7 linked regions of the Oryctolagus cuniculus genome follow. The protein of the gene in region 5 purifies or fractionates together with the protein of the main gene of each other region. This does not show direct contact. Links are inferred from orthologs where the notes say so. Each region holds a gene or a part of one and is shown on either strand. Other genes may lie near its edges.

What was found.
Region 1: the proteins of SNRPA1 (region 5) and SNRPD1 purify together in Homo sapiens (affinity purification with mass spectrometry; 4 studies listed by BioGRID and IntAct, counting the BioPlex papers as one, with this or other methods). This does not show direct contact. The link is inferred for Oryctolagus cuniculus from reciprocal best matches to the Homo sapiens genes SNRPA1 and SNRPD1.
Region 2: the proteins of SNRPA1 (region 5) and SF3B1 purify together in Homo sapiens (affinity purification with mass spectrometry; 8 studies listed by BioGRID and IntAct, counting the BioPlex papers as one, with this or other methods). This does not show direct contact. The link is inferred for Oryctolagus cuniculus from reciprocal best matches to the Homo sapiens genes SNRPA1 and SF3B1.
Region 3: the proteins of SNRPA1 (region 5) and PRPF8 fractionate together in Homo sapiens (co-fractionation; 3 studies listed by BioGRID, with this or other methods). This does not show direct contact. The link is inferred for Oryctolagus cuniculus from reciprocal best matches to the Homo sapiens genes SNRPA1 and PRPF8.
Region 4: the proteins of SNRPA1 (region 5) and U2SURP purify together in Homo sapiens (affinity purification with mass spectrometry; 5 studies listed by BioGRID and IntAct, with this or other methods). This does not show direct contact. The link is inferred for Oryctolagus cuniculus from reciprocal best matches to the Homo sapiens genes SNRPA1 and U2SURP.
Region 6: the proteins of SNRPA1 (region 5) and SRRM2 fractionate together in Homo sapiens (co-fractionation; 3 studies listed by BioGRID, with this or other methods). This does not show direct contact. The link is inferred for Oryctolagus cuniculus from reciprocal best matches to the Homo sapiens genes SNRPA1 and SRRM2.
Region 7: the proteins of SNRPA1 (region 5) and CDC5L purify together in Homo sapiens (affinity purification with mass spectrometry; 5 studies listed by BioGRID and IntAct, counting the BioPlex papers as one, with this or other methods). This does not show direct contact. The link is inferred for Oryctolagus cuniculus from reciprocal best matches to the Homo sapiens genes SNRPA1 and CDC5L.

Annotation. Positions count from the first base shown.
Region 1 is NC_091441.1:56,034,661-56,038,724, reverse strand, and holds the start of SNRPD1 (small nuclear ribonucleoprotein Sm D1), read left to right. Parts: upstream 1-1,264; 5' UTR 1,265-1,457; coding exon 1,458-1,471; intron 1,472-1,557; exon of another isoform or gene 1,558-1,731; intron 1,732-4,064. UniProt on the Homo sapiens protein: Plays a role in pre-mRNA splicing as a core component of the spliceosomal U1, U2, U4 and U5 small nuclear ribonucleoproteins (snRNPs), the building blocks of the spliceosome.
Region 2 is NC_091434.1:42,863,629-42,867,621, reverse strand, and holds the end of SF3B1 (splicing factor 3B subunit 1), read right to left. Parts: intron 3,139-3,993; coding exon 2,980-3,138; 3' UTR 801-2,979; downstream 1-800. UniProt on the Homo sapiens protein: Component of the 17S U2 SnRNP complex of the spliceosome, a large ribonucleoprotein complex that removes introns from transcribed pre-mRNAs.
Region 3 is NC_091448.1:47,180,014-47,184,142, reverse strand, and holds part of PRPF8 (pre-mRNA-processing-splicing factor 8), read left to right. Parts: intron 1-660; coding exon 661-774; intron 775-852; coding exon 853-1,026; intron 1,027-1,309; coding exon 1,310-1,503; intron 1,504-4,007; coding exon 4,008-4,129. UniProt on the Homo sapiens protein: Plays a role in pre-mRNA splicing as core component of precatalytic, catalytic and postcatalytic spliceosomal complexes, both of the predominant U2-type spliceosome and the minor U12-type spliceosome.
Region 4 is NC_091435.1:138,825,917-138,830,045, reverse strand, and holds part of U2SURP (U2 snRNP-associated SURP motif-containing protein), read left to right. Parts: intron 1-987; coding exon 988-1,032; intron 1,033-3,189; coding exon 3,190-3,321; intron 3,322-4,129.
Region 5 is NC_091443.1:10,486,411-10,490,539, reverse strand, and holds part of SNRPA1 (U2 small nuclear ribonucleoprotein A'), read left to right. Parts: intron 1-533; coding exon 534-612; intron 613-2,710; coding exon 2,711-2,757; intron 2,758-4,129. UniProt on the Homo sapiens protein: Involved in pre-mRNA splicing as component of the spliceosome. Associated with sn-RNP U2, where it contributes to the binding of stem loop IV of U2 snRNA.
Region 6 is NC_091450.1:32,566,443-32,571,284, forward strand, and holds the start of SRRM2 (serine/arginine repetitive matrix protein 2), read right to left. Parts: upstream 3,011-4,842; 5' UTR 2,793-3,010; intron 2,537-2,792; exon of another isoform or gene 2,129-2,536; intron 1-2,128. UniProt on the Homo sapiens protein: Required for pre-mRNA splicing as component of the spliceosome. As a component of the minor spliceosome, involved in the splicing of U12-type introns in pre-mRNAs.
Region 7 is NC_091436.1:125,737,478-125,742,188, reverse strand, and holds the start of CDC5L (cell division cycle 5-like protein), read left to right. Parts: upstream 1-1,553; 5' UTR 1,554-1,891; coding exon 1,892-1,936; intron 1,937-4,711.

The sequences.
Region 1 (4,064 bases), on a different chromosome or scaffold from region 5:
GAAGAACATTCTATGCAAAGGTCTGGTCGGATCAGTCCTAATGTGGACAAGTAAAGGAACCTGATCATTGACATAAAGGGTAGAGTCAGCTTCCTGAGGACCACGTGCGTCTCCAGAAGAATACTGAGAACTCTCGAGAAGAAAGGGGAGTAGAAGAGGTTGTGAGGACTGCTCACAAATATGCCTCATAGCTTTGCTACTCAAGTTGTGATCCATGGACTAGGGAAATCTTCAACTGAAGGCTTCTGGAAATGCAGAATTTCAGGCCCTACAACAACTGAACCAGAATTTTCATCTTCAAATTTCCTCAATGGGGCTGGTGGTGCGACATAGCGGGTAAAGCCGCCTCTACAACACCAGCATCCCACATGGGTGCCAGTTCAAGTCCCGGCTTGCTCCACTTCTGATCCAGCTCCCTGCTAAGGCACCTGGGAAAGCAGCGGAAGAGGGCCTAAGTGCTTGGGCCTCTGCACCCTTGTAGGAGACCTGGAGGAAGCTCTGGGCTCCTGGCTTCAGCCTGGCTCTGCCTTGGCTGCTGCAGCCACTTGGGGAAAAACGTATGGTTGGAAGATCTCTGACTCTCCCTCTTTCTCTGTTAACTCTGATTTTCAAAATAAATAAATCTTTATTTAAAAAATTCCTTGGGTCTGTCCTGTGCACATTAAAGTTTGATGAGCATTGCCTTACAACATCCTAGAGTTCTGGTGATCATGGATGAAGTTCAATCTAGATTTACAAATTAAAACCATAGTTTTGGAGGAGATCGCCCAGGCTAAAGGAGAAAGTTTTCCTAAAAAGGACTACAGCTGTAAGCCCTGAAGCATCCTGACACGTGTAAAGACTCAGAGGCCTAGACAGAACAGCTAGTGGGTTAGGGAGAAACCCAGAGTGCTTGGCCCGGGAAACAAAGGTAGAAGGTATTTCAAAACTGAAGTGTGTTGAATGTTACTGAGACGTTGAGTACGAGGAAAACAGACAACTGTGTCTCGGAAACATAATTCTGCAATTTTCTTCAGATTCATCAGTAATGCTAAATAAGGTTCTTGGTGTTGGACCAGAATTCGCAATAACCTGTGTTTCTCTCAAAACCGCTCTTTGTTCACGGAGGAAGTTGTATTTGGTGCTTCGCCAACGCGCCCCGCCGTGCCGAAGCGTGATGGCGACTGCTAATTGGATTTAACTGTTCAAATCGCCCTCTCCTTAGACAGACAGTCACGCCCTCAGCCTCTGCAATGCATACCTCCGGCAGCGAGGGGTCGCAGTCGCGCTCCCCTTGGCCGGAAGGCAAAGTGGCCCAGCAAGGCCTCGGCGTTTCCGCCGCACGTCCACAGTGCTCCGCGCGCTCGCTACGTCCGGAGCCCGTGGAGTAGGCGTTTCCGGCCATTCATACGCCTAGCCGGTCCTCGGTAGTTGCATTCTCTGCGTTATCGAGCAGAAAGGACGATTGCGCCGCTACGATGAAGCTCGTGAGGTGAGGAGGTGGCCGAGCGAGGCGGGGGCTGAGCCGTAAGGGTTCGGGCCGGGCTCGGGAAGCTGAGCGGTCCCGAGGCCGGAGGCGGGAAAGCCGCGTGCGCGCGGCCTGCTAACGGCCTGCGGCGCCCGCCGCGCGCGCCCCATCTTGGCCGCGGCTCCGGGTCGTGATCGATCGTTCTTCAGCCTCGCCTGTCTTCCAAGAGGCGGGCTTGAAGACCGAGCTGCGTCTTGTCACCTGCTGCCTTGGGGGCCTTGAAGGTGGCTTGGTCTCGCGTTAGTTACCCATTCTCATTGTGCGCATGGAGCTCCCGTGGGTCTGAAGACGGAGTTTATCATGGAAATAAGGAAGCCTACTTGCAGCATGTTTTAGATCAGAGAGGAACTAGTTTGCAAGTTGTGATTTTAAAGTTTTTGGTCTCTCTCGATGCTCCCTAGACTTTTGATCAGAAAAATCTCCCACTATGAGGCAAAAGCCAATACTTTTTGATTGTGGCTGGTTACACATAGCTGGTAATTCCTCCGGTTTCCTTTCTGCGATTGTGTTGCTTAGTTGAGCCTACTAAAGGATTGTTTATTGATGTTTGTAATTAGTTCCAAACTGCTTGCAGATAGGTTAGATTTTGGTGCTTTACATGGAGGCTGAGCCTGCAGCCCAGCGGTGGTTTCTGGTACTAAGCTAGCGGTTGGAAGTATTTGACGAGTTTCTTTCCTCCCAAGTCGAGACTGGCAGTGCTGACCAGTTATGGGGCACCTGTTACAGTTACTGTGTGCCGATAATAGAATTTTCTTAAAGGCAAGAATCCCTGCCTTGGAACTTTTTGTTTAGTGCTGAAGACAGATAAGTGGTTAACATCTAGTATGTTTGAAATACAGTTATACTTTATGGGTGGAGTTTGTAGAGAAGACATTTAATGTGAATGTTCATTCTTATTTGAATTATAACTTTGTATAACAGTCTCAGAACTCAGTGTATTTTTATATTTCTCCATACCTGCTCGTTTGAATCTTAATGAATTTTTTTTTTTTTTTTTTTTTTTTTTTTTTGTCACTGAAGATTCAGTTTGTCTCATTTGAAAATAGCACATGTTCTAGCAGAATTTCCCTGTAATTTTTAACGAGTGTGCTGAATCCCGTTCTGTGTCTTAGGTACTAGGTAGATACAAACCCTCTTGTGTCTTGCCTCAAGAAAATGGTTTGACTAATTAGTTTGTGTATGCTCATTGTATTTATTTCTGCATCTCAGTTGGTGGCATTATCATCCTTATCCTGTCACCCTAGCCAAAACCAGGGAGACAAACTTCACTTTCTTAAGTGAAGTTCAGTGTGTATTTCCTGAGAGTGGAAAAATTATACACTAGTGTAACCCAAACCCCTGCCATGGTAAAATACCAAAACCTCAAGAAGTTCCCTTAAGCTATCTCAAGTCAACTTTTAGCTCCACATCCACCAAAGCAATGTGTTTCTTCCACTGTAGTTTTGCCTGCAGTAGAATTTATTCTTTGGAATAAAAAAAGACTATATGTCTTTTTTATGTTTGCTTAAGATTTCTTAGCATGCTCCTGAGATTCATCAACATTTAGTTTTGCTTTTTGTTACTTTAAAGATTTGTTTATTTAAAACAAGGCAGAGCAACACAGAGAAGTGCCTCCCAACTGCTGATTCGCTTTCTAAGTGCCACAACAGCCCAGGCTGGGCCAACTGAAACCAGGAGCCAGGGATTCTGTCTGGGTCTCACACGTGGGTGACAGGGGCCCCAAACACTCTGGCCATCTTGGGTTGTTTTCCTAGGTGCATTAGCAGAGAGCTGGATCAGAAGTAGAGCAGCTGGTACAACAACCTGCACTCTGTTACGGAATATAGGAAGCTGTCCCAAGTAAAGGGTTAACCTGCTGAGTGCCGCCCACCCCCAGTATTTAAAAAAAAAAATTTAATTGTAGGATAGTAGTCCAATTGTATGTTTTAAAATGATATGTTTTGTTTAAAGCTGTTTTGAACATCCTTATGCAAATCTCTGTATACATAGCTTTGATTTTTCTTGGGTAAATACTTAGGAGTAGACATGCAGAATCCTACATAGGGTATACTTAGGAGCAGACATGCAGAATTCTACATAGGGTAAGGATATGTTTAACTTCATAAGAAATGCCCTACCATTTTTCAAAGTGCTTGTACCATTTTAAACTTCTAATAGCAATATGTTAGACTTCCAATTGCTCCACTTCCTCACCAGCATTTGTTGTTGTCAATCTGCTTAATTTTATGGATTTTAGTGGGTATATGGTAGTGTTTCCTTAAGTTTTAGTTTGTATTTTTCTAATGACTAATGCTTATTAGCTATTTGCACATCTGTTGTGATGTTATGTTTGAATCTGTTGTTTATTTTGATGGTTTCTTTTTATTACTGGGTTGTTACAATTCTGTATATCCTGGATACCAGTCCTTTGTCATATACGTATGTATATATATTTTTAAGATTTATTTTTTATTTATTTGAAAGAGAGCGAGATCTTCATTCGCTGGTTCACTTCCCAACTGACCACAACAGCTAGGGCTGGGTCAGGCTGAAGCCAGGAGCCCAGAGCGTCTGCTGG
Region 2 (3,993 bases), on a different chromosome or scaffold from region 5:
TCATGCTCTGCCTTCCTTCCCTTTCCATACCGAATGGCCCCTGTGCTGCTGATCTGTAGGTGAGCCTAGACATGGAGACCAGCATTCCTGCCTCTGAGCCGCTCATCTGGCTCCAACCGTGTAACAAGATGTCTTGAAGACCTGAGGGATCATCTTCCACATTTCCACAGCCTGCTTTCCCCAGGATGTATGAGTAGTTTTACCCAAGGTAACTGTTTTAAGTATTTGGTAGTTACATAGTTACTTCCAAGGAAACTGGTTCCTAAATATTGCCTTACCTATCCTTTCATTTGATCAGGCATGTAAGTCCCACTTAAACAGTGTTCTGAGTTTGCTCAGTGGTTCTCAACCTAAAGAGCTTTCCCTCCAAGGCACATGAGAACACACCTGTAGGCATTTGGCGTCATCAGAACTTGGGCTAGGGGGCAGGGGTGCTACTGGCATCTGCTGAGTGGAGGTCTGGGACACCACTCAACACTGTGCCATGTACAGGGCAGTTCCCAACAAAATTCTGGCCCAAAATGTCAAGGATGCCAAAGTTAAGAAAACCCAGCCCAGTTGTAATTTTGCCTCTTTTGCTTGGAGGGATTAAGAGCTGCTAGGAACCAAAGAGCCAAACAACTGAACCTATTTGGCTACATCTTTTTCTCAGTTTATTTTATAAAGAAAAAGTTTCCTTGGATTTCAGCATTAGGTTCTCTTGTTTGGAAAACAACCCCCAAAGAGCTCAGCTCAACCACAACAGAGTGTAGTATGACAGCAATAGAGTCAACTAAGATTACAAATTGGTCTACTAAGACTTTAGATATAACAACTTTTTATTCATCTGGTGGGTACTTGATGCTCACAGGGCACCGTACAACAAATTTAAAAAATACAATATGAAAAAAAATCAAACAGCCAGAGATTAATTCCATAAGAGGGCAATGGCCCACAGAAAAAAAGACAACAAAAGCCCACAGAAAACCCACCCTCTGTCCCCTTAAGAACATTAATATCTTCCTGCTTAAGTTTGGCTTAAGCAAACACCAAAACAAAGTGCAAAAGAAAGTCTTTGAGAAGATAGCTAAACTTCACGTAGCATCTTTCAAGTAATTATTTCACAAAATGCTTTCCTTATACAATACTAAGCACATAAAATAATCCAAACATCTGTGAGCCTCTATTTGGTCCCAATTTTTAGTTCAGAGCCTTCAGCATTTCCCTCTTCTTATCCTCACATGATTTGCTTCAGTGAAGTCACATAAAGGTATCACAGTCTGCTTTGTTCCACACTGCCACAACAAAGCATGTTTTCCATAAACTGCAAGGAGCCAAGCAACCTGACAATGTGTTTTAAGTAGTTAAAAGAAAATATAACTGATTTTTCTCAAAAATGACTTAATATCTAATTTTGGATTTAAAATAATTACAATAATTATGTCAGTATTTAATGTCATTTGACATCAACTATACAGAATAAGATGATTTAAAGTTGCATGGAGGGAACCACTACAAAATCTCCAAGAATACAAAGATGGTTTCAGAATTTCTGCTTAAATTAGTTGAAAATTTGTTAGGAAACTCAACTAATGCTCAATTATTAATTTTGCAAAAGTAAGCCAATTATAAGCTATTTCTCATCCAAAACTTCTAAAAGCTCTGTGTTAACAGGAGGCACAAACCTATGGTAGCAGAGTAATCACACACTAAAAGTGCTTGCACAATCTCTTTTCTCCTTAGAATTCACAGAAGGACTAAGAGAGACACAAAACAAAACAGCTTGGGTAGTAAAAGGTCTAAAACTAAGAAATCTGGGCTATATAATTAAGTTGAAAATATACTTAACACAATTGCCAAAAAAAAAAACCCAGTAAGTACTGCTTCAATGCTTGGTTCCTCTAAAATTAAATGGCAATTTAATTTATGCTGTACATTTAGGTAGATCAATTTATCATTTAATTACTAAATACAAATGAGGCAAACCCAGACATTTTAGCTGCTGCCACTCCATAACATGGTATACAGAGAACCTGTAATGAGATGTGACTACTCTTTTCAATTACACTTTACCAGGACTTGAGGGCAAAGGGCAGGTCACAGGTATCTTTACAGCCTCTAGAGTTAAAGCACAGTGGCAGGAATATGGAAGGGGCTCAAAAGTTATTACTGAATACATTGTGGCTGCTTGTGACATGGGAAAAAAGCCAAGATTGTCTTACTCTATTAGCATTACTTAGTTACTAGCCTCACTCCCAATACACAAAGCAATTCTCAAGTAAAGATCACACCCTCCCCACTTTCTAAACAGAGCTCTCAAGAACTGGACATTACCCAAGTCACTTCCTTTAACCATGCTTGAAAAGCATTTTGCAAAATCAAGAGATGAAAGGTGCTATGTAAGTACAAAATATTACTTGAGACAGTTCAGCAAAGGTGCTATTTTTCTAAAGTGATGGAATGGTTTTGAGTTTGGGGGGATCATCCCCAAAGCTACTCTTCTTGCTGTCATCACCAACAGAACAACAGAATCTTGACAAAGATGCCATCACTTTATTTAATTTGTATTCTGCTAATTTCTATAAACCAGGTGACAGTAAGCCATTTATTCTGCACAAACCAATGCTTTTATCAAAGTTCTGCATTTTACAAGTCATGTTCAAAAAACACACACAAATTAGCTTTTGTACACAAATGTTTATTTCTCAATTAAACATTCCCTTTAAACACAAGGAATGAATTCTAAATCTTCATAAAGATGAATTAAAAATGAAATCCCTCCAGTATAGTACGCGTAATTACTGTGTTCTTGGTCACTACTGGCATTTACTGTTTAACATCAAAAACAAAGACAGGTTATTTAAAAATCATGCTACTGGATTTCTAGCTCTTCTTCTATGACCAGTTCTATACTGATCTGCAATGTTTAAAAGTTTATATCACCAAATTGAAGCAAGTTTAAGGTGTGAAACAGTTGTGCATTAAACACAAAATAAACAATTATAAGATATAGTCAAGTTCATAACGAATGTAAGTGTTCTTATCATCATTGTAGATTCTTGGGTAATGTGCTATGAGAGCATCTTGTGAACCAATGTAGATGGAGTTGTAAATTTTCCAATACACATCTCTGACTTTCCGGGCTGGGTGAAACAGACCCTAGAACAATGGAAAGGTGGCATGTCAGAATTTTCAAGAACATATGTAAACTTAACACAATTAATAAATCATAAAAGCTGTGATTCAAAACATTTCCTTTGGGGGTGGCAAGAGCCTGCAATTAAAATTACAATGGGCAGGGCTGGTGCTGTGGCGCAGCAAGTGCTGGCATCCCATATTGGCACTGGTTTGAGTTCTGGCTGCTCTACTTCTGATCCAGCTCTCTACTATGGCCTGGGAAAGCAGGAGAAGATGGCCCACATCCTTTGGCCCCTGCACCCGCGTGGGAGACTCAGAGGAAGCTCTTGGCCCCTAGCTTCAGAACGGTGTAGCTCTGGCTTTTGTGGTCATCTGGGGAGTGAACCAGCAGATGGAAGACCTCTCTCTCTGCCTAACTGCCCTTCAAATGAACAATCTTTAAAAAAAAAAAAAAAAATTACAGTAGGTAGACTTGCCATTATACACATCCCATATTGGTTCTAGTCCCTGCTATTCCACTTCCAGTCCGGCTTCCTGCTAACAGGCCTGAGAAAGCAGCAGAAAATGGCCCAAGTGCTTGGGCCCTTAGACCCATGTGGCAGACCAGAAGCAGCTCATGGTTACTGGCTTCTTCCCGATTCAGCCCCAGCTGTTGCAGCCAGCTTAGGAGTGAACCAGTGGCAGGAAGACCTCTCTCTCTCCCTTTTTTTTTCCCCTAAAAGATTTTATTTATTTATTTATTTGAGAGGCAGAGTTACAGAGAGAGACAGAGAAAGGCCTTCCATTTACTGGTTCACTCTCAAATGGTCACAACAGCCAAGGCTGGGCTAATCCAAAGCCAGGAGCCAGGAGCTTCTTCTGGGTCTTCCATGCGGG
Region 3 (4,129 bases), on a different chromosome or scaffold from region 5:
AATGGACTTCCTCTGTATATCAGTATTTTTGTCTTTTTTTTTTTTTCCCAAAGATTTATTTTATTTGAAAGTCAGAGTTACAGAGAGAGAAGGGAAGAGAGAAAGAGATCTTTATCTGTTGGTTCTCTTATATGACCACAACAGCCAGGGCCTGGGCCAGGCAGAAGCCAAAAGCTACATCCAGGTCTCCCACGTGGGTGCAGGGGCCCAAAGATGCTGCCATCTTCCCCGCGGTTTCCAAAACTCATTAGCAGGAAGCTGGATTGGAAATGGAGCAGCTGGGACTTGAACCATGCCCATATGGGAAGCTGGCATTGTAGGCAATGGCTTATGCTGTTAGGCCAGAACACTAGCCCTGTTTGTCATTCTTACGCATTAAGACTCATTTCTTTGTACAGCTTTTTATGACTCTAGTAGCCTTAACTTCTTTCATTCCTGAACTGTGTCATATTGCTTAGCATGATCATATACTGGTTTTGAGTAGTATCTTGTATAGCTTGAAAACCCCCTTTGGACAAGGCCTTTTGACAGTTTATCTTCTAAGAGCTTAGCATTCAACATTAACGTCCAGACATACTTGATTTCAAGAGTAGGGCTTTCTGTTCTAGTTGATCGGGAGGCTGCAGACTCAATTTCCACTGCCTTTCTCTTGGTTTTCAGTTGGCTAAGTGGAAGACTGCTGAGGAAGTGGCTGCCCTGATCCGATCTCTGCCTGTGGAGGAGCAGCCCAAGCAGATCATTGTCACCAGGAAAGGCATGCTGGACCCGTTGGAGGTAAAAGGGTGGACAGGGTAGACAAAGGCAGGCCTGAGGCTGAAGATCGTTTCTGATCTTGTCTTGATCTGGTCGTAGGTGCACTTGCTGGACTTCCCCAATATTGTGATCAAAGGATCAGAGCTGCAGCTCCCCTTCCAGGCTTGTCTCAAGGTGGAGAAGTTTGGGGATCTCATCCTTAAAGCCACTGAGCCGCAGATGGTTCTCTTCAACCTCTATGATGACTGGCTCAAGACTATCTCATCTTACACGGTAGGAAGACGGCCACGTTGCGAGTGGGTTTGTGGTCAGGAAAGTATTCTCTGCCTGATAGTTTCCTCACAGGCCGCTGATTTGGGCCATTCTCATAGTTTCAGTCTGTGGATGGAGCAGGAACTCTGCTGCCTTACGAGGGCTTGGAACTTTAGAGTTTGAAGTCAGTTCTTGGGTTTCCTGCAAGCACAGGATGGAGACATTGAGAAAAGGGGAGAACCTCAGTTAGCGGACCTCCGCCGTCCCCGCCCACTCGCAAACACTCTTCTGAATTTCTTCCCAGGCTTTCTCCCGTCTCATCCTGATTCTGCGTGCTCTGCATGTGAACAATGACCGGGCGAAGGTGATCCTGAAGCCAGATAAGACTACAATTACAGAGCCGCACCACATCTGGCCCACTCTGACTGATGAGGAGTGGATCAAGGTGGAGGTGCAGCTCAAGGATCTCATCCTGGCTGACTACGGCAAGAAGAACAAGTGAGCCATTGTGATGGGGAGGCCAATGGGTGTCCACAAAGCTGAAGTGGGGGGCTCAGTATTGGGGTTCTGTGGCTTTGGAACACTTGGCTCATAAGTTTCTCAAGAAATTGTCTTAGAGATACTCACAGAGGAGAAGCAAGCAGTGTCTTCAAATAGTACAGGAAGTCTGCATGTCTCAGGGCTTCGCTCTGATTGTGGCTGTTGTGTTGTGTTTTTGGAGTAACTGGATCTTTTATGATTTCAATTCAGTTATGGAATTAGCAAATTCATAATGTTTATCAGAGAAAAAATTTCCTTTGGGACATCAGAAAGAAGCACATAGGCAATGACAATTCAAGTCACCTTTACAGGCCATAACAAAAATGAGAGCAAATGTTGATGATGAGTTGATCCTAGCAACATTTTTACTATTTCAAAGACTACCCAGAAAAGCTTTGCACTCAAACACCACATCATGTAAACCAGGTATTCATGCCGCTTTTGAATTCTTTTTAACAGTGTATAACCACATGGTTTTTGCTTTTTTTTTTTTTTTTTTTTTTTTTTTGATGATTGCAATTTTTTTTTGAAAGTCCAAGTTACAGAAAGAGAGGCACACACACACACTCACACACACACACATACACATATCATCCACTTGCTGGTTAACTCCCCACCCAAATACCCTCAACAGCCTGGGCTGGGCCAGGCTGAAGCCAGAAGCTCAATCAGGTCTCCCCCATGGATAGCAGGGACCAACTACTTGAGTAATCACCCTGGTCTCCCAGAGTGCACATTAGCAGGAACCAGAATTGCAAGTGGAGCATGGACTCAAACTCAGGCATTTCAGTATGGAATGCACACCTCCCAGGCAGCACCTTAACTGTGGCACCAGATGCCTGCCCCAACCCCTTTCTTTTTCACAATATACTAAATCTCCGCTTATTCACTTCCCAGCAGTATAATTTGTGGCTCAAAGAGTAATAAATACATTTTTTGGTTCTTGCTACAAATTGCATGTGCCGTGCTAAAAAAAATGGATTGGGGCTAGTGGTGTGATATAGTGGGTAAAGCTGCTGTCTGTAGCACTGGCCTCCCATATGTGCTGGTTCAAGTCCTGGCTGCTCTGCTTCCACTCCAGCTCTCTGCTCTCTGGGAAAGCAGTGGAAGATGGCCCAAGTCCTCGGGCCCCTGCACCTGCATGGGGGACCTGGAAGGAACTCCTGGCTCCTGGCTTCAGATCAGCCCAGCTATGGCTGTTGTGGCCATTTGGGGAGTGAACTAGTGGATGGAAGATCTCTCTCTCTCTTCTCTGTCTCTCTGTGACTTTGCTTTTCAAATAAATCTTTTAAAAAATATATGGATCACTTTATAGTATATTCATGACTCCTTTCTGACTGGTATTGGAAAGAAAAGAAATTATCTGATGTAGCAGTCAGTTAACTTTTTTTTTTAAGATTTATTTATTTATTTCAAAGTCCAAGTTACACAGAGAGAGAAGGAGAGGCAGAGAGAAAGGTCTTCCATTCATTGGTTCACTCCCCAGATGGCTACAAAGACCAGAAGTGGGCCGATCCAAAGCCAGGAGCTTCTTGCGGGTCTCCCATGCAGGTGCAGGGGCCCAAGGACTTGGGCCATCTAATATTGCTTTCCCAGGCCATAGCAGGGAGCTGGGACTCAAACTGGCGCCCATATGGGATGCCAGCACTGCAGGCAGTAGCTTTACCGGCCCCTGGTGTTCCTTCTTAATAGTTTCCATAGGATTGAAAGATGTGGTATATTAACTCCCCTGTTGTGAAGCAGAAACTGGTATGTTTTGTAGAACAGAGACTAGACGAACTGGAATAATTAGAATTAAGAAACAATTTTTCTCAGGGTTTATCTAATGTTCTTATTTACAATTCCACTTTCCAGCCTTGGAATCTTTTGGATTATAAGTGTAATCTCCCTCTTTTACATATGGGAAACTGAGTAAAGAGGAGTGACAATCCCAGCACAAGTCAGAATTAAAGATGGGAGAATAATTAAGTTCTGTAACTTTGCTTCCGACCCTAAGTCATCCTGTTGGCCATTGTTTCTCAGTGGAGGAAATCCTGCCATTCTGAGGAGGGCTCATCTTTATTGTAATAAACTACAGGAGATTCTAACTTCCAGACCTTGAGTACCATCACTGATAGCACATACCTGTCCCACCTCTCCTTGTCATTGTGACGTATCAAAAATGTCTGTAGATCTCCAGTGTTCCCGAGGGTGACTGGTATTACCACCTCTGGGGAAGAACCAGTGTTTCAGGGGTGCTGAGGAAAAGTGGGGTTCTGGGTGCTGAGTGCTGAAAGGTACACTTGCAGGGCGCAGTTCTACTTGGGATGTGACATAGAAGGAGGAGTGCATCTCCATCTCAGGCCTCCTCTCGAAGGGGCACTTGAGGAGTCTGGGATGAAAACAGGCACCTCCGTGTTGTGCCCAGTTGACACTCTTGCCGTTGAAGCAGGGATCCTTGTTAACGCACGCTGTCCCCACAGTGTGAACGTGGCATCGCTGACGCAGTCCGAAATTCGCGACATCATCCTGGGGATGGAGATCTCCGCTCCGTCCCAGCAGCGGCAGCAGATAGCGGAGATTGAGAAGCAGACTAAGGAGCAGT
Region 4 (4,129 bases), on a different chromosome or scaffold from region 5:
GTGGGAGGAAGATTTCTCTTTCTGTAACTCTGCCTTTCAAATAAATAAATAAATAAACCTTTAAAAGAGAGGCCCAGCTTCTATAGTGTGGACATTTGCTGTTTACGTGACAACTAGCTGTAGAAGTTGGTTGTTACTTGTAGGTCTTAATACCTGCTATTTGCATCTCTTTAATTGTTCTTAAACCTAACAGAGTTCCTTTCTGAATGCTGTGTAGTTGTAGCCACCTATCAATGGAAAATGGTTTGTGATGACTGTGACTAATGACATCTTAGGTTGATTGAAATCAGCTGATTCCAAGCTATGACGTTATTGCCCTATTTGTAAATTCATCAAATCATGTTATTTGCAAAGCTGACAAAAGTGCTAGCTTTGAACTGACTGCTTTGATTTTTATTTTATTTCTGAAGATTCATTTATATATTTGAAATAGTTGCAGAGAGAGACAGTGAAATCTTCCATCTGCTGGTTCACTCTCCAGTTGGCCACAACTGCTGAGGCTAGGCCAGGCCAAAGCTAGGAGCCAGGAGCTTCTCTTCCTGTACTCCCATATGGGTGGCAGGGAACCCAAGCACTTGAACCAACTTCCACTACTTTCCCAGCTGCATTAACAGCTGAATCAGAAGTGGAGAATTGTACATTCAGGCTACATTGTGGAGTGCTTAAATGTTAGGCAATAAAATTGCCTATTGGATGCTGGCCCTGCAGTCGGTGGCTAAACCCACTGTGCACAATACTGGCCCCTAGAGTCTGCTTCTTAATTGTGGCTTTGGATGGTTGGAAAAAGGGAGGGCATTTTTTTGTTCTTGTTGTCTCCCAAGAAATTTCTCCTCCAGCAGTGTCCTGACAGTAAACTGTGTTTCATGACTTGGGAAAAGCTTTTGCACAAAAATTTATAAAAATACTGAATTTCCATTCTATACCGTAAAAAGGTAATTATGCCTTAGATATACCCCGCTAACATTAATATTACTTTAATACTTTCAGACCAGATCATCAGATGTTCACTCATCTGGATCTTCAGATGCACATGTGAGTATAAAAGGCAGCCTTTGACTTTTTTTTCTTTAAAAATTTGATTTTTATTGGTATATATTATCCTTGTAGTTAAAAAAATGACTTATTTATTTGAGAGATTAGAGACACACAGAGGAGAAATGGAAAAAGACAGCGATCCTCTGGTTCACTCCCCTTGTGCCTGTAACTGGCCACTGTAGGGGGCTGAAACTGGGAACTCAGTCCAGGTTTCCCACGTGAGCAACAGGGACCCAGCTGCTTGGGAGCATAGCTGGAACTTGAACTCAGGTAATCCAACCAATATGAATGTCTGTGTCCCAAGTAGCATCTTAACTGTTAGAGCAAATTCTAACCCCATGCCTATGATTTTAATCTTTTATGTTTTATCTTTTTCTTTTATCTTTTTTGCTATGAACCTCTACTTGTGAATCAGCCCTCTCAAAGTTAGACATTTAGTATGTATATTCCTTTTTTTTTTTCTTCACAGGCAGAGTGGACAGTGAGAGAGAGAGAGACAGAGAGAAAGGTCTTCCTTTGCCATTGATTCACCCTCCAATGGCCGCTGCGGCCAGCGCACCGCGCTGATCCGATGGCAGGAGCCGGGTACTTATCCTGGTCTCCCATGAGGTGCAGGGCCCAAGGACTTGGGCCATCCTCCACTGTACTCCTGGGCCACAGCAGAGAGCTGGCCTGGAAGAGGGGCAACCAGGACAGAATCCGGCGCCCCGACCAGGACTAGAATCTGGTGTACTGGCGCCGCAAGGCGGAGGATTAGCCTATTGAGCTGCGGTGCTGGCCGATGTATATTCCCTTTTATAAATTATGTTTTAAAATTCTGTATGCACATAGATGTATATACTTACACATTCGCTGTGTAAGTGTAGTATAGACCCTTTTTCACTGCACGATATACCTGTTATATGTCCTGACAAGTCAGCTGGCATAGCTCTAATCTGTTCTTTCTAATGGCATCATACTATTCCACTGTGGGAACATAAACTTACTTATTAAGCTATTTTTCTGTTAATGGGCATAACTTTATTGAAAGCTTTTTGACTCTTGAGTAATACTGCAATATTATAACAACATTTGGAGTGTGGTCTGTGGACCTCCAGGAGATCACTGAGAATCTTTCAGGGAGTCTTGAGTTCAAAACTATTTTGTGGTAATACTAAGGCATTATTTACCTTTTTCACTGTGTTGACAGTCATACTATGGTACAAAAGCAGTTGGTGGGTAAACTTTTGACACTTCAGTATGAATCAAGGCAGTGATGCCAAAAAGTACTAGTAGTCATTATAATCTTCTATACTAGGAATAGTAAAAATATGCTAGTTACACTTAGCAAGTTCCTAGTGAAGCAGTAAAGTATTAAGAAATCTTGACTTGAGTACAGACAGGTCTTTTTATATTTTGTGATGAAACAAGTAGTACTTTTTTTTTGACAGGCAGAGTGGACAGTGAGAGAGAGAGACAGAGAGAAAGGTCTTCCTTTTCTGTTGGTGCACCCTCCAATGGCCGCAGCGGTCGGCGCACCGCACTGACCGAAGCCAGTAGCCAGGTGCTTCTCTTGGTCTCCTATGGGGTGCAGGGCCCAAGCACTTGGGCCATCCTCCACCGCACTCCCGGGCCACAGCAGAGAGCTGGCCTGGAAGAGGGACAACCGGGACAGAATCCGGCACCCCGACCAGGACTAGAACCTGGTGTGCCGGCGCCGCAGGCGGAGGATTAGCCTAGTGAGCCGCGGTGCCGGCCTTCAAGATAACTTTTACTAATGTGCGCTTTTTTCTTGAAGAAAAGTACTTGTATAGTTGTTGAGTTGAGAATGAAACTAGTTGCTTTTTTCATGAAATACTTTTTTTGCTTGAAGGAACATCTGACAAATTTTATTCAGGCTTGAGAATGTGGCAGGCATTTTATTGAAAATGAAGAATGTGGACATGTTACTCCAAGAACTGTTTCCAATATAAATGCGAGCTTTCAAGTATAAGTTAGAATTGTTGAAACCTTTCTGTGTCCTTAAGGACTTTTCTGATGAAGTCAACGGTTGCATTAAAGGATGTGGTTTTTGATGGTGAATGATGAGATTTTTGTCAGTGTTTGGACACTTGGATTATTTCTAGTTTTCAGTATTATATGTGACTTTAAAATTTTTTTTTACATTTCTTGAAGATGGATGCATCTGGACCCTCAGATAGTGATATGCCAAGTCGGACACGGCCTAAGAGCCCAAGAAAACATAATTATAGGAATGAAAGTACTCGTGAGAACCTTTGTGATTCTCCTCATCAGAATGTCTCCAGAGTGAGTATTGGTAAAGATAAAATTAATGATTTTAATTTGTCCTTGAAGTCTAAATTTATTTTAAAAATAGGAGCATTTTGGATGTAAAATGAGTTCACTGGATTTATCTCTGCCTGCCCCCCCCCCCCCCCCCTTTGGACTTTAATGAACCAAGTAAATAATTACCAGTCACAGATGTCTAAACACAGTTTTTTTTTGAAAGGCAGAGAAAGGTCTAGCATCCACTGGTTCACTCTCCAAGTGGCTGCAATGGCTGGAGCTGGGCCGGACTGAAGCCAGGAGCCTGGAATTCCATCTGAGTCTTTCATGTCGGTGGCAGAGGCCTAACCACTTGGGGCAGCTTCTGCTGCTTTCCCAGATATGTTAGGGCGCTAGATCGGAATTGGAGCAGCCGGACTCCAACCAGCACTCACATGGGAAGATGGCATCTCAGGTGGCCACTTAAGCTGCTGTGCCACAGTCCTTTGCTCTCTGAGCGCTTATTGTCTTTCTCTGAGAAGCAAAGAGTGAGAGAGTACTATTCATCCTGTAGGTACAATTACCTGGACAATAGAGGAACAGAGGAAAGGAGTTTCTTTGCTCCAGAATCTTGGTTCTTTTAGTGTTTTTTCTATTTTAAATAGTTTTTTTTCCTTGTGATTAAGTTTATGAAGTAGAATAAACGGCATAGTCATCAATAGCCAGTATTACCTGCTTAATTTTTCTTGTTTAATATATATTTTTTAAAGATTTATTTAGAGTTACACAGAGAAGGAGAGGCAGAGAGAGAGAGAGAGAGGTCTTCCATCCGCTGGTTCACTCCCCAATC
Region 5 (4,129 bases):
CGTTTTAGCCCTTAAGCTCTGTGTAAATTTTATTGGAAAAAATTTATTGGCTACTTGTAGAGAATGTCAGTAAGAGTACTAGTGGTGGGGTGCTTGGCACCGGGTTAAGGCACTGCTTGGGACACACACACCCCGTATCAGGATGCCTGAATTCAAGTCCTGCTCCACTTCCAGTCCAGCCTCCTGCTATTGGGTTAGCCATTTCCTGGTGGGGTGGTTGTATGTCTTGTACCTGCACTGTGAATGCAGAAGCACTTGGGTTTCTGTGCCACCTGCTCACAGAAGTAGTGAAGTGAGCTGAGGCCCTACCCGGGGGTCTCACCTTTTCTCAGGTTCCGCTAGCCGGTGTGGCAGCAGAAAGGGTCCCAGGCAGAGTCCAGGGAGCTGCCTGAATTGTCCCCTCTTCGGTCGCCTCTCCCACAGTGGTAGCTGGGGTAGGGCAAGAGGGGTCTCGGAGCTTCTGCAGTCAGACCCTGTGATCAGGGGTGTGTGTAGAGTTGTTCACTTTACTAAGAGTGTGTCTGTCTGTTTAGCCGTATAGGTGAGGGGCTTGATCAGGCTCTGCCCTGTCTCACAGAACTCATTCTCACCAACAACAGCCTTATGGAACTGGTAAGTTGTATCTTGGGGAGGGGTTTAAGGGCTGCATACTTCTTAGAGAACATTTGCGAAGTCTAGAATATTTCTCCTTATCCTCCTTTGCTTAATTAATTCAGTGCCTGGGCCTTTCTGGGTGTCAGTGTTGCAGGGGTCTTTCCTCGCCCTGGCTTCCCTTTGATTCTGTTAGGGCGCCCTGACAGACGTGCCTAAAGCAAGTGTAGGCCAATTTATGACCTTTTTTCTGTATTGCTAGTGCTTTTGATGTCCAGGGAGGCTTCTCTTACCCTCCCTGGGTTGTAGAGGAGCCTGTATCATTTTCTGGAACTGTAGTCCCAGTGTGGTGGCGCTGACCAGGTGGCCTCTGCGTGGAGGTGTGCTGGAACGTGGCCTGCACACCGGGCCTCAAGGACGTGGAAACCAAGAGAGCAGGAGAGAGAGAATGCGGACATGGTGATTTCCGCCTGTTTTATGTTTTCAAAACTTACTCCGTGTGCTTCACTTTTACATAATTGAACTGATACCATATATGTTCTCGTTGTAACCTAAATTTCCCACTTGAACACTGGATGTCTGAGTCCATGTTGTCTAACTTGATTTGCGGTTATCCTGCCTTTGCCTCCCTTGCCTGTCTCCTGGAGTGGAATGGACTGTGTGTGCCTTTGCTGGTGCGTGGCGGGCCCATCACATCCTGGACATTCTCTCTAGAGTACGTGACCCCGCAGTGAGAATGCAGCGCCCATATGGGATGCCTGCACTGCAGGCAGCGGCTTTACCCGCTGTCCACAGTGCTGGCCTACTTGTGTGTGTTTTTAGCCCATCAGTCCCTAGTCATTCTGTTTCATATGATGTGTGTGTGTGTTAGAGAGAGACATGAAAGTTGCCACTCTTACGTCATTGCTTCCTGGGTCTGTTTCAGTGGGTTGCCAGTCCGAGCTGGAGAGCTGTCTGATGGTGTCTGTGACGTGCTTCCTGCCAGGCTGCGCTCTGAAATCTGCTCTGTTCCCCTCCCTCTTGCATCCGTACCTTGTTCCTCATTCTCTCGTGCCCGGTTTGCTCGGCTCGGATCTCCTCCTGCAGTTTCTCCTCAGGAGAGCGCTGTCCTGCAGGCACCCAGCATCTGGCTGGTCCAGACCCTGTGCTCACGCGCCGCGCAGGTCTCGCAGGGACCCAGCATCTGGCTGGTCCAGACCCTGTGCTCACGCGCCGCGCAGGTCTCGCAGGGACCCAGCATCTGGCTGGTCCAGACCCTGTGCTCACGCGCCGCGCAGGTCTCGCAGGGACCCAGCATCTGGCTGGTCCAGACCCTGTGCTCACGGGGCCGCGGGTCTTGCAGCTGCTGCTGTGAAGCTGAGTGCCTGTGGGCTGTCCTGGAGCGATCAAGTTCACGGCCGCCCCCTCCTCACCTTCTCTGCTGCTTCCTGCGCAAATGTGGTCGCCACGCAGGCCTTGTAGCTCGCGGTGCTGCTGCCCCTCACTCCTGTGTTAGGGTTCTTGGAGAACTATCTGTCATCTGGGTTGCTTGTAGGTATGGACCATAGGGGTTTTTGTTTTGCTGTCCTTACGGTACTGCGTTATGAGACAGTTTGGGAAGATCTAAAAACTGCCCTGCCTTCTGCCCATAATTTGGTCCTGTTTCCCCAGCTGTACAGCTTCGTGTCCTTGGAAATTCTTTGAAGAGCTTGGTGGGGGCAGGGGGTACTGCGGAGGTGAAAGGCGCTCCTCCACAGTGATAGGCCTGTGTGGGTCCCAGGCGTCTGGAGGCGCTAGAAGACAGATGGCTGTACTACCCTGTGCGAATCTCTTGCTCAGGGTTACCTCACCTTTGGCGGTTTCTCTCCTGAGTCATTGGAGTTTGCTGTAGGAAATCACCTTTCATGGCCTCTTCTGCCGTGGAGACAGAGCTGTTGATGCTGGATTTAAAGGAAGAAGCTCAGATGTACTCGGCGTATTCTGTAGGAGTTACTGAAGTGCCTGTGACGTCCTGGTTTTGGGTCAGGACTAGTGCAGTAGCAGTCTGAAAGACGATGCGGCTGCTCGCTCTGCCTGCCCTGCCCACGGCAGAACACTGGGAGCATGCGTGCTGTCCTTACCTTTGCTCTCCACCCCACAGGGTGACCTGGACCCCTTGGCCTCCCTCAGATCGCTGACGTACCTAAGGTATGGGAAGGATGTTTTTTAATTCATTCTATTATTTATTAAAATGTCATATTAAATTGGTAGTATCATAGGGGTATTTTTTAAAATTTATTTCACAGCACTTGATTAATTCAAAGAAATAATTTAGAATGGAATGACAGTTACACTAATCAAGAGATGTTACATTTGATATATTTTCTTTTAAATACTTTAAAAATTTTAACTGATACAAAAAATTGTACATATTTCTGGGGTGCTGTGTAATGTTTTTATATACATATACATTGTATAATGCTCAAATCAGAGCAAACACTTCGATATACTCAAACATCTATTATTTCTTTATGGTGAAAACATCCAAAAAATTTGTCCTCTCAACCTAAGAAAAAGATAGTGCATTAGTAGTATTATCTACAGCCACCCTGATGCAGTAATAGAATACCTGACTTTTTGTACTGTGTAACTATAACATAGTACTTGGGGTTTTTTTGTTTTTGTTTTTAAATATTTGTTTATTTGAAAGGGAGGGAGAGAGAGAGGTCTTCTATCTTCTGGTTTACTCCTCAAATGGCCATAACAGCCAGGGCTGGGCCAGGTCAAAGCCAGGAGCTTCATCCTGGTCTGCCACATATGTGCAAGGGCCCAAGCACTTGGGCTGTCTTCTGCTGCTTTCCCAGATGCATCAGCAGCAAGCTGGATCAGAAATGGAGCACCCTGGGACCCAGCGCCGTGGCATACCAGGTAAAGCCGCCATCTGTAGTGCCGGCATCCCATATGGGTGCCAGTTCGTATCCTGCCTGCTGCACTTTGGATCCAGCTTTCTGCTGTGGCCTGGGAAAGCAGTGAAAGATGACGCAAGACCTTGGGCCCCTGCACCCGTGTAGGAGACCCGGAAGAAGCTCCTGGCTCCTGGCTTTGGATTGGCTCAGGTCCAGCCATTGTAGCCATTTGAGGAGTGAACCAGAGTATGGAAGAGATCTCTCTCTCTGTCTCTCTCTCTCTCTCTCTGCCTCTCCTTCTCTCTCTCTCTCTGTAACTCTTTCAAATAAATAAATAAATCTTTAAAAAATAGAAATGGCGCATCCGGGAACCGGTGCCCATATGGGATGCCAGTGCCGCAGGCTGTGATTTACCGGCTGGCCCAGTGTGGTGTTGTCCATCAGCTTCTCCCCAGCCCTCCTTCACTGCCACCATCCCAGTCCCTGGCAGCCCTCATTCTGCGCTCAGCTTCTTTGAGACTGACTTGATCTTTAGATGATGTGTGAGGTCTCCTAATTGTCTTTTGTGCTTGGCTTATTTCTCTTAACACAAAGACCTTCAGTCCCACCTATGTTTCTGCAGAAGAGAGAGCTTAATCCTTTTTTATGGCTCAGTACCATGTTTTCTAGGTGTG
Region 6 (4,842 bases), on a different chromosome or scaffold from region 5:
CCCATCAACTATCTTCTTAGTTTACTTCTTCAATTTCCTTCCTGATAGTATTTACCACATGCTTTGCAGCTCCTCCAAGGCTCACTAGCTCCTGTTACATGTTATGTCTTTAACTCAATGCTCTATTTAAACACATCAGCGTCTTTTATTTCTACTGTCTCCATAATTTCTCTAGATTCCTTGTTCTGAACTTAAAAAATCTTCTCGCTCCATATCTCACTTTTATTAAAGCCCAACTGCTGGCTTTCCCTATCCAATCTCCTGTACTGAACTTCTGTTTTCTCTCGCAAGCCCTTCTCATGTGCTAACAACCCCACACCTCTCACCACATTCCATTCTCTCAACTTATCTAAACCCCAGCACGACTGAAGAACCCACAAGTCCCAGTTTTTCCAGTTAACAGTTCTTGGCTATACATACTCTGATTCTTTCTCCTGCAATACAAGGGTACTTCCAAATGTTCACAAAAAATAAAATTAAAACTTAGGGACATATTTTTGACACCTGCATCCCGTATGGGAATGCCTAGTTCCAGTCTCAGCAATTCCTGTTTCCAGTTCCAGCTCCCTGCTAATGCGCACCCTGGAGCCAGCAGGTGATGGCTCAAGCACTTGGGTCCCTGAAACCCATCCGGGAGGCTTGGATTTAGTTTCATGCCCATGGCTTTGGCCTGGCCCTGCCCCAGCTGTTGCTGTCCTTTGGGGAACAAACCAGCAAATGCAACATCTGTCTGTCAGGAAGCTCTGTCTCTCAAGTAGTTTTTTGAAAACTTTTGCGCAAAACAATTGAAATCCATGCAAGTTTTTCATCATCTATGTTTTCCATGAACTTCTGCAGACCTCTCAAACACAAAGCTTCCCCAACCCATTCTCTCCAAGATAGTGGGAAAACTAACCTCAGGAAAAACCCTAGAAAAAGGCAACATGGAGAAGTTAATCAACGCGGAGGGAAATGAGAGGCACTGCATGGAAGGCTGCATTTAGAAAACTCTGAAATAAAGAAGCAGAACACAAATGCCTACAGAAACCCAAGACGCTGTATGGGAAGGAAGCCCAGCAGCCTGCACACCGCGCAGCCACAGACCAGGTCCCTTCCCAAAGGCAGCAGTCCTACGAACCGAAAGCAAAAAAAGATGACAAAACCAGAGTCAACGGATGACACGAGGCTCAATCTATGAAAGGCAAGGAGACACGCAGAACAGAACAGTGATCTACTTCTCTGCAGCCCAAGAAAGCAACCCTCGCGTTCACCTTCCAGCACCAATTCGCCCCACTCTAAAAGCCCCTCTTTGCACCTGCACAGCCCACTGAATTTTTGCTTCCCTTGCAGAATGCTTCTGACCTGCAACTAATTCCTCAGCCTCAGAAAAGCACCCACACTTCTCTGCCACCTCACACAAAAACCCTCCCACTCCCTAAGGAGGGAAAACCAGTAGCTGCTAAGCCAAAGATACTGTCACATTGTTCGAAAGATGTAGAGAATCAACAATAAAAAAAGAAAAAGAAAGAAAGAAAGAAAACCTCCACGGCATCCAAAGCAGAGCTATAGACACTTCAGTGAGGAGGAACCATGTCAACGCAAACCACTAAAACCGATAAAATAATTATTCTTAAAATGAGGTCCACAGAGGGCTTACAAAGTTACTTTGCCAAGGAAGACTAAGAGAACTACCTGTGCTGGACAGTGATCAGAACGCCAAAACAATGAGATCAGAGAGTATCGCACAATATTCAGACATTCAGTTAAAAAATGGACCGAACTGCGGGAGGCGGCAGAGAAGCAGAAGCAGAAGCAGCTCCACGCCGGCGCACTGCAGTGCCTGGGGACACGCGAGGGAACCCAGAAAGCTCGGCAGCCGACGGAGCCCATCGTCCGAAGAGCGAAGCCGACAGAACCGACAGCTGGGATGTGCGAGCCGCAATCACAGCGAGAGCAGGCGGACACGGAGGCCGCCCAGAGTCGTGTGCCACGGGGGGGCCTGAAACGCGCAGCCGCAACTCCAAACAGTCCGGCATTTTCCTCCCAACCACGGGCTCCAAAAGCAGCCTCCGTAGTTTTAACGCAACTTCTGGGGAAATGTGGAAAAGCCACAAGGGAAAAAAACAAACCAACCCACCACGTTGTCTACCTTACTCACGTAGACTCAATTTTTTTCCTTCTCCCTTTCCTTTCCACGCTCTGCGGCTTTTTTCTCCCCTACCGACCGCAGGGCTGATACTAGCGAGTCCAAACGCTCTAAATCCGGGCCACCGAGGTCAAGGCCCTCCCCGCGCCGCCGGGGCCAGGAAGGCCTATTTTCGGCCCGGAGGGATGGGGGAGGGGGCTGCGCGGCGCCCCGCAGTCTGGAAGGCTCCACACCGGTCCACCGGGCCCCGGGCGCGACCGGAACGAGCCACAGGGGACACGGTCCGAGAGCGGGCTCCCGTCGCCGCCGCCGAAAGGGGCAGCCGCAGCCAAGAGGCCGGCTCGGCCGCCCATGTGGGGGGAGCCGAGGAGCCGAGCGGCGCGCGCTCCCCGGTCGCCGAGGACGCGCGCGAACCCGAGCGCGGGCGGCGGCGCGCGCCGTTGCTATGGGGGAGGGGCGGGGAGAGGCGCGCCGGAGCCCGCGCGCGACGGGCACCGCGCGAGGGGGAGGGGAGCCCAGCGAGCCAGGGCGTCCGCGCGAGCTGAGGGCGGCGAGCGCGCGCGCGCGTGCGCGTGCGGCGGCCGGGGCCGTTCTCCGCGCGCCGCGGCCTCGCGCCGCGGCCGCCGCCCCTCCCCCACCCGGCTCGCGCGCTCCCTCGCCCTCTCACCCGCCGCCGCCGCCGCCTCCGCCCGCCGCCTCCGAGGGGGAGAGGTCTTGCCGCTGCCCGAGCGCCCGAGTCCCTCGGGGCCTGGAGCCGCCGCCTCGCCGCGCCTCGCCGGTCCGCCCGCCTCACCCGACGCCGACGCCTCCTCGCTTCCTCAGGGGCCGCAGCGGGCTCCGACTGCGCCACTCGCACCCCGCCTGGGCCGCGCTGCACGTCAGCACGACCGACCAAGTGCGTCAGCACGCCGCCGCGCCGCAGGGCCCGCTGGGAACCGTAGTACGCTCTGCGACCTTGTGCGCAGGCGCCGGGCTCGCTTCGGGAAGTAGAGTTTCTAGAGGCGTAAGAGAGAGTCAGTTTCATTGCCGGGAGACTACGAGTCCCGTCGGCCAACGCGAGTAAGGGGTGGGAGCAGGACCGAAATGACAGTCTCCGAGGCTCACCGCCCGGGCGGGGGCGGGGCACAAGGCCTGGCGACGTCTTAGCGCCTCTCGGCCTCCCGCCTTCGGCCAGAGCTTTCTGGAAGTTGTAGTTCAGGCATGCGGCGGGACCCGTATGTAGCTTCGTCCAGGGGCGCGGTCGCCATTTTGTTTCCTCAGGTTGGGAGCCGAGCGCGGGAGCCTTGTGAGGGTTGCTGCCTCCAGGTGACCGTAGCCTCCCGGGCGAGCCCGCGGCCCCACAGCACGTAGCCTTTCGTGCTCAGACCCCAGATATCGGGTACGCCTGGCGCCCCCGAGCCCGACACAAGGTCCAGGCCGGGAAGCAAAGGCCGAACACCCACCGCGTTGGGTTCTGGCGGCCCTCACCCGCCGTGAGCAGCTGCGGCGTTTGAGGTGCCCTGAGGAAGAGTTTTCTGGAACCAGAGGGCACCAGCCAGGAAGGCGGTTGTTTGATACAGAACCCAGATGTATCATACCTCGTGGAAACGCCCTTAATCATTCACTGTGCCATTGCCGGGTCCTTTTTACAGGTCCATCTTTGCGGCCGTCGTGGCGTGGCGGGTAACCCGTGCCGGCGGCTCCACTTTCCATCAGCCCCTGCCGGTGGGCCTGGGAAAGCAGCCGCGGCGGGTGCGCCCCTGCACCCACGCTGGAGACCCAGATGAGGCTCCTGGCTCCGGCCTGGGCCGCGGGCAGTGACCCAGCAGACGGAAAGCTGGCGTTCTCTCTAACTGCCTTTCAAGTAAAAAAAAAAAAAAAAAAAAAAAAGTCCATTTTTCTGAGCCCGAGAATCGGCAAGCCCCCTCAGAGCAGAGCTGTAAGGCTGGGCTTTTCGGGCTCGGGTTTACCTCTGGCCGGGCCAAGGGACAGTGACCTTGGACTGGTCATCTCCGGAAGCCCAGCCGCTAATGGCATGAAGCGCCATTACGCATCTGCCGCCCCTCTGTGTGTGAGGAATTTTCTTGAAAAAAAGATTTGAGTTCCAGAGGAAGAGTCGGAGGTCTTCCATCCCCTAATCCCCAAGTGACCGCAATGGCCAGGCCAAAGCACGGAGCCAGGAACTCCCTCTGGGTCTCCAACGTGAGCGGCCGGGGCTGAGTGCTTGGGCCACTTTCTGTTGCTTTTCCAGGCACATCAGCAGGGAGCTGGATGGGACGCAGAGCAGTGCGACTGGAACTGGTTCTCTGGGATGATGGCAGTGCGGCCAGCAGCTCAACGCCTGCGCCACATGCCAGCTCGGAATTTTGAATTTTTAACTTAGCCCGCAAGGGAAATCAGCGCTAGGACCACACAGGGAGAGTCCGGGCTTGCTGATGTGAGCCCTAGCGCCGCACGCCAGCGCCCTGGAGCACCACTTGAACTCCTCCACAACTCCGGAACACAGCAGAGGGGCAAGGCCTTGGTCTCGCTAGGCCTGAAGTGGTGTTTCTGGACTGGAGAATGAGGGACAGTAGTTTCTTTAAAGCCCCGACCACCTTCAGGGAGACCCTTCCTGTAAACAAGTTACCAATATTTATGGAATTATCATTCTGTAGAGTCAGCACATTCACAACCCCAAGGGGTAGGTGTTCTCTAAGAACAATGAATTTCATCACATAGCCACAGTACAAATTTCA
Region 7 (4,711 bases), on a different chromosome or scaffold from region 5:
GCCCAGTGATGTTGCAAGTCACTCGCTGCAATCCAAGACCTGAACTGCCAGGAGTGGAATTTGTTCAGGTCACTGGGTTGAGCAAACCCACAAAGATCACAGCACAGCAGGGCGGCCCACACTGGCCTTCCCTACATGGTTCCTGGACGTGTTCTGTTAGATCTGAATACTGTTTGCAAGAAAGGGCTTGGAAAACAGCAGTGCTGTCATTAGTTGCTGAACACATAGGGAGATCAAGTACACATTGGGAGTTATGAGAAAAATATTTGACTAAATACACAGAATATAAAGTATAGTCATTCTAAAGACACTACATTGTGGGGCTGGTGCTGTGGCATAGTAGGCTAAGCCTCTGCCTGTGGTGCCAGCATCACATATGGGCTCTGGTTCTTGTCCCTGCTGCTCCTCTTCCAGTCCAGCTCTCTGCTATGGCCTGGGAAAGCAATAGAAGATGGGTCCCTGCACCCGCGTGGAAGACCCGGAAGAAGCTCCTGGCTCCTGCTTTCTGATCGGCCCAGCTCCCACCATTGCAGCCATTTGGGGAGTGAACCAGTGGATGGAAGACCTCTCTTGCCCTCTCTGTCTGTAAAGCTACCTCTCAAAAAATAAATTTAAAAAAAATCTTAAAAATATCCTGTTGTATCTGAATAATTTTTATGCCAACAAATGACATCAGCATTATTAAAAACACCTAAAAAGTTCCCATTTCAAGATAAAAAAATTATCAGAACATTCTGTAGTTTTTCCAGAAGACGCAAATGGAGAAATGAAAAAACCTAAAGAGCAAGGCACTATATAAAGACCCAGGACTTTCCTCATCCATTAACTAAATATTTTCATATTTCCTAGGACTGGCGTCAAAGCGATGTTCTGAAATGGGAAAGATGTCTGAGTAACTCGGAAGTGGGGTGGCGGAGAGCTGGACAACCCTTATCCAAGGTTAGGTTTTGGTTTGTCACAGCTAATCCTGCCCCTCCGATTGCTGAAGCCGGTGTTGCTGGCTCCACTTTTCAGACGAGCACTCTGAGATTCAGCACGGGTATTACCCACGCTGACGAGACAGCCAAGATTCCGGCCCAACTCGAGTCCGGCTCCCTTAATACCAGCGCCCATAATGGTCTTTGTTATTAATTCACACAGACTGAATGGCGATGGATGAAAGACGCTGAGGGGACATCGGTGGGGGCTTCCGGGACAGCCGCTGCGCCCCTCCCCGGGGGCAGGTGGAGGCGCTGCCCTCCTTGGAATCGCAGCGGCGCTTTTTGGGAACAGTCGTCTGTCAGACCCTGCACTCCGCTGAGGACCTCACTTCTTAGCAGAACCCCACTGGGTGGGGGCTATTATTACTACTCTGTATTACAGGTTGGGAAACTGAGCCGCAGATAAGCTGTTCTCTTCCTCCTGCGTACTCGACTAGCGAAACGCTCAATAAAGCGCTAGTTCGCGACGCTTTCTCCGGACCGGCTACTCTGCAAGGCCACACACAACCCGTCTGCACCCCCACCGCCGAGTGACGTCACGATGACCAACCCCACCGCGACGCCGGGCCGGCCGCCGCTGCGGATGTCTCGCGAGAGCCATGGCTTCCTCCAGCCTGACTTGGACATGCGCGCGGCGCACGGCGCTACGGCCACAGCAGTTTGATGGTTTTCTGTCAGTCTGTACACTAGAGCTTTGAGAAAGCACTTCTAACCTTTCAGCCTCCCGAGATATCGCGAGACTTGCTATTCTGCCACCGCCCCCCCCGCCACCTCCTTGCGCCTGCGCAGATCTCTTCAAAGCAGAAGGTCGCGCTTGGAGGAAGTGGCGGCTTTGGGTCCCGTGACCGGAGCGCCGTTACTACTTTTCTGAAGCTCCTCTCGGCCGCTTGCCGAGACCACCTGTCGCCAAGATGCCTCGAATTATGATCAAGGGCGGCGTGTGGAGAAATACCGAGGTGAGTCTCTTTTCCCGCCGTCCGCTGCCCTCCGCCCCCTCCGGCAGCTTGTGCGCACGCGCGCGCGCGGGGGCCGGGGAGCGGACGAGGATGCCCTGCGGGGTCTGCGTGGGGTGGGCCGGGCCGCGCAGCGCCAGGGCCGACGACCCTCGGCGCCTCAGCGCTGTTCCCCGCCAGGGGTGACGGGAGCGCCCCAAGGACCGGCGGCTCGGCTCCGAGCTCACCGTCAGGCACTTGTTAGGCCCTTAGCGAACATTTGTTGAGTCGAGGCCGCGCCGCCCCGGCCCCCTTTCCCCGAGGTCCCCACTGGGTGGCAGGAGGGGTGGGACATCCAGGAGAGGTGATCTTCCGGGACGCTACCCCCCCTCAGCTCGCGGCTGTCTCTGGCACCCCAAAACTAAAGAACTTGGTGCAGCCACAACTTTGTTTCTTCGCTGACTTCTTGCAGAGAGGGGAAGCAGCTTGCATACCGAGTTCTCGGCGCCCGTTTCTCCTGCATCCGTCGGTTTATCCGTCAGCCAGGCACAGCCTGTGCGCGCTCTCCCGACAGATGCCAAGGCCTGTCTCTCTCTTAGCTTCCCGTCTCTCCGCCTTGGCATGGCTTGAAGCCAGATAGGACAGACTGCTGCGGGTAGTGTCGTAGTGGATCGTGCCATCTGAGAGCCGGAGAGCAGTAGAAAGGGAGCAAGACAGAAATGAGATTTGAGTGCGTTTCGTGTCGAGTGCCCTGGATCGATCAGTTTCTGAGCACGGCTTATCTCGTGTCTTTTATTACCTCTGTGCCTCCTTGCGGTATCCTCGACCCGCTTGGCATCCTCCTGACCTGGTTCAGAAGCCCTTGGCGGCCAAATCTTCGCCTGTTCAGCCTGTGAGCGTTGGTAGCACCCCCCTGTGGGCCCACGGTGCCTGTCATCCACTTGTTGTCGGCTTGCTTTGACTTTTGCCAGTGTCACATCCTTGGGAGTGATGCTGGCAGGTTTCTCCATTTCTCCAAGCCTTAGATTCCTCATGTTTCTGTGGGGATTAAGTGAGCTGCCACATTTGGGACATTTGGAACAGTCGGGAACACAGTAGCCTTTCAGCCAGTGCTAGGCACCTCTTACCTCTCCAGACAGCACTGGGGGAGGGGAGGGGAACAGGTCCTGCTCTTCCTGGAGCACAGGAGAGTAACCAGCGTGAAGTAGTAGGTTGCTTGGCAGATGTTTGTGGAATGCATCTCGGCGGGTACGCGGGACGTAGCTGTGATCTAAGTATTAGAGGTGCAGCACCACGTGACAGATGAAGGCAGTGCAAGTCCCCTCCCTTGTGCTGAGGGAACTAGGCTGTTTGAATGGAGAGGAGTTGACTTGTGAGGGAGAGACCCGTGAAAAAATCAAGTAGTAGCAGGATTCCTGTGCTACGGTCAAATCTGCTGACAGATTTCTACAGTTGGCTGTGGAACAGAGCCTGCAAGTGAAATGTCTCAAGTGCATTCACATCTGGCTCCATCGTCCTCCGCGCCAGTGGCTTGGCTTGCCAGGCTGCTCTGGGATTGGTACATTCCGTGTTTGGGTGGCAGCCCTGGTGAAATAGTATCTAGAGTCTGGGGGAGACTGGAGAGAGATGACTTGGGAGGGGTTGTGGAGAGAAATATTTGAATCTCAGGTTAGAACTGAGATATGGTCTAATCTGAGATGTGGATTCTTGGGTCGTGGTGGGGCGGATGGGGCTGGGGAGGAAAGGCCGTGCTTGAACTGGAGGCAGGAAGTGTGAATTGGAGAGTGGTTTCATCTGAGTCCCAACTTGCTTTTTGAGGCCTGGATGTGTCCTATTCGATTCTCTCCCCAAGTATACAAGACCTGGTGCAAGGCAAGTGTTCAGGAAGTGTTTTCTGAGTGAAGGTGTAAATGAATGAGCTGTGCCTGCTTGAAGAATGACAGCCACATATTGGAGAATACTTTTTGTTAATCTCTGTCCGAAAGTAGGGTTGCTCAGAGGTGGTTGTTCCCACACACAATTGGGTGTGTGTTTATAAGGAACAGTAAGATGTCCTAAGGAATTTCTTAATTTCTTGCATTTTGCTGGTTGCTTACTGTTTATCATTATGGTCAGTGAGGTTTTTTGTGTGTTTAAAAATTCTTATTTCTTAAGTACATTTGAAATATTTATTTTTTTAAAAGATTTATTTTTTATTTGTTTGAAAGAGCGATGGGGGTAGGGAGGTGGCAGGGAGAAGAGATCTTCCATTTGCTGGTTCACGCTAGGCCAGGAGCCAGGAACTCCATCTAGGTCTCCCATGTGGGTGGCAGGGGCCCAAGCACTGGGGCTGTCTTGCACTGCCTTCTGAGGCACATTTAGCAGGGTGCTGGATTAGAAGTGGAGCAGGTGGGACCTGAACTGATGCTCCAAGATACAAGATTCCAGCATTGCAAATAGAGGCTTAATCTGCTATACCACAATGCTGGCCACTTATGTCTGAAAAGTGGAGTGACAGAGATCTTCCATTCACTGGTTCATTCTTGAAATGATCATAACAGCCAGGGCTGGATCATGATGAAGCCAAGAGCTAAGAACTCCATCCAGATCTCCCACTTGGATGGCAGAGACCCAGGTACTTGAGCCTTCATCCACTGCTTTCCCAGGCTCATTAACAAGAAGCTGGATTGGAAGTGGAACAGCTGGAGATTTTTTTTAAAGGTTTTGTTTATTTGAGGGGTAGAGTTACAGACAGAGAAAAAGGTCTTCCATCTGCCGGCTCACTCTGCAAATAGCTGCAACAGCAGAGCTGAGCTGATT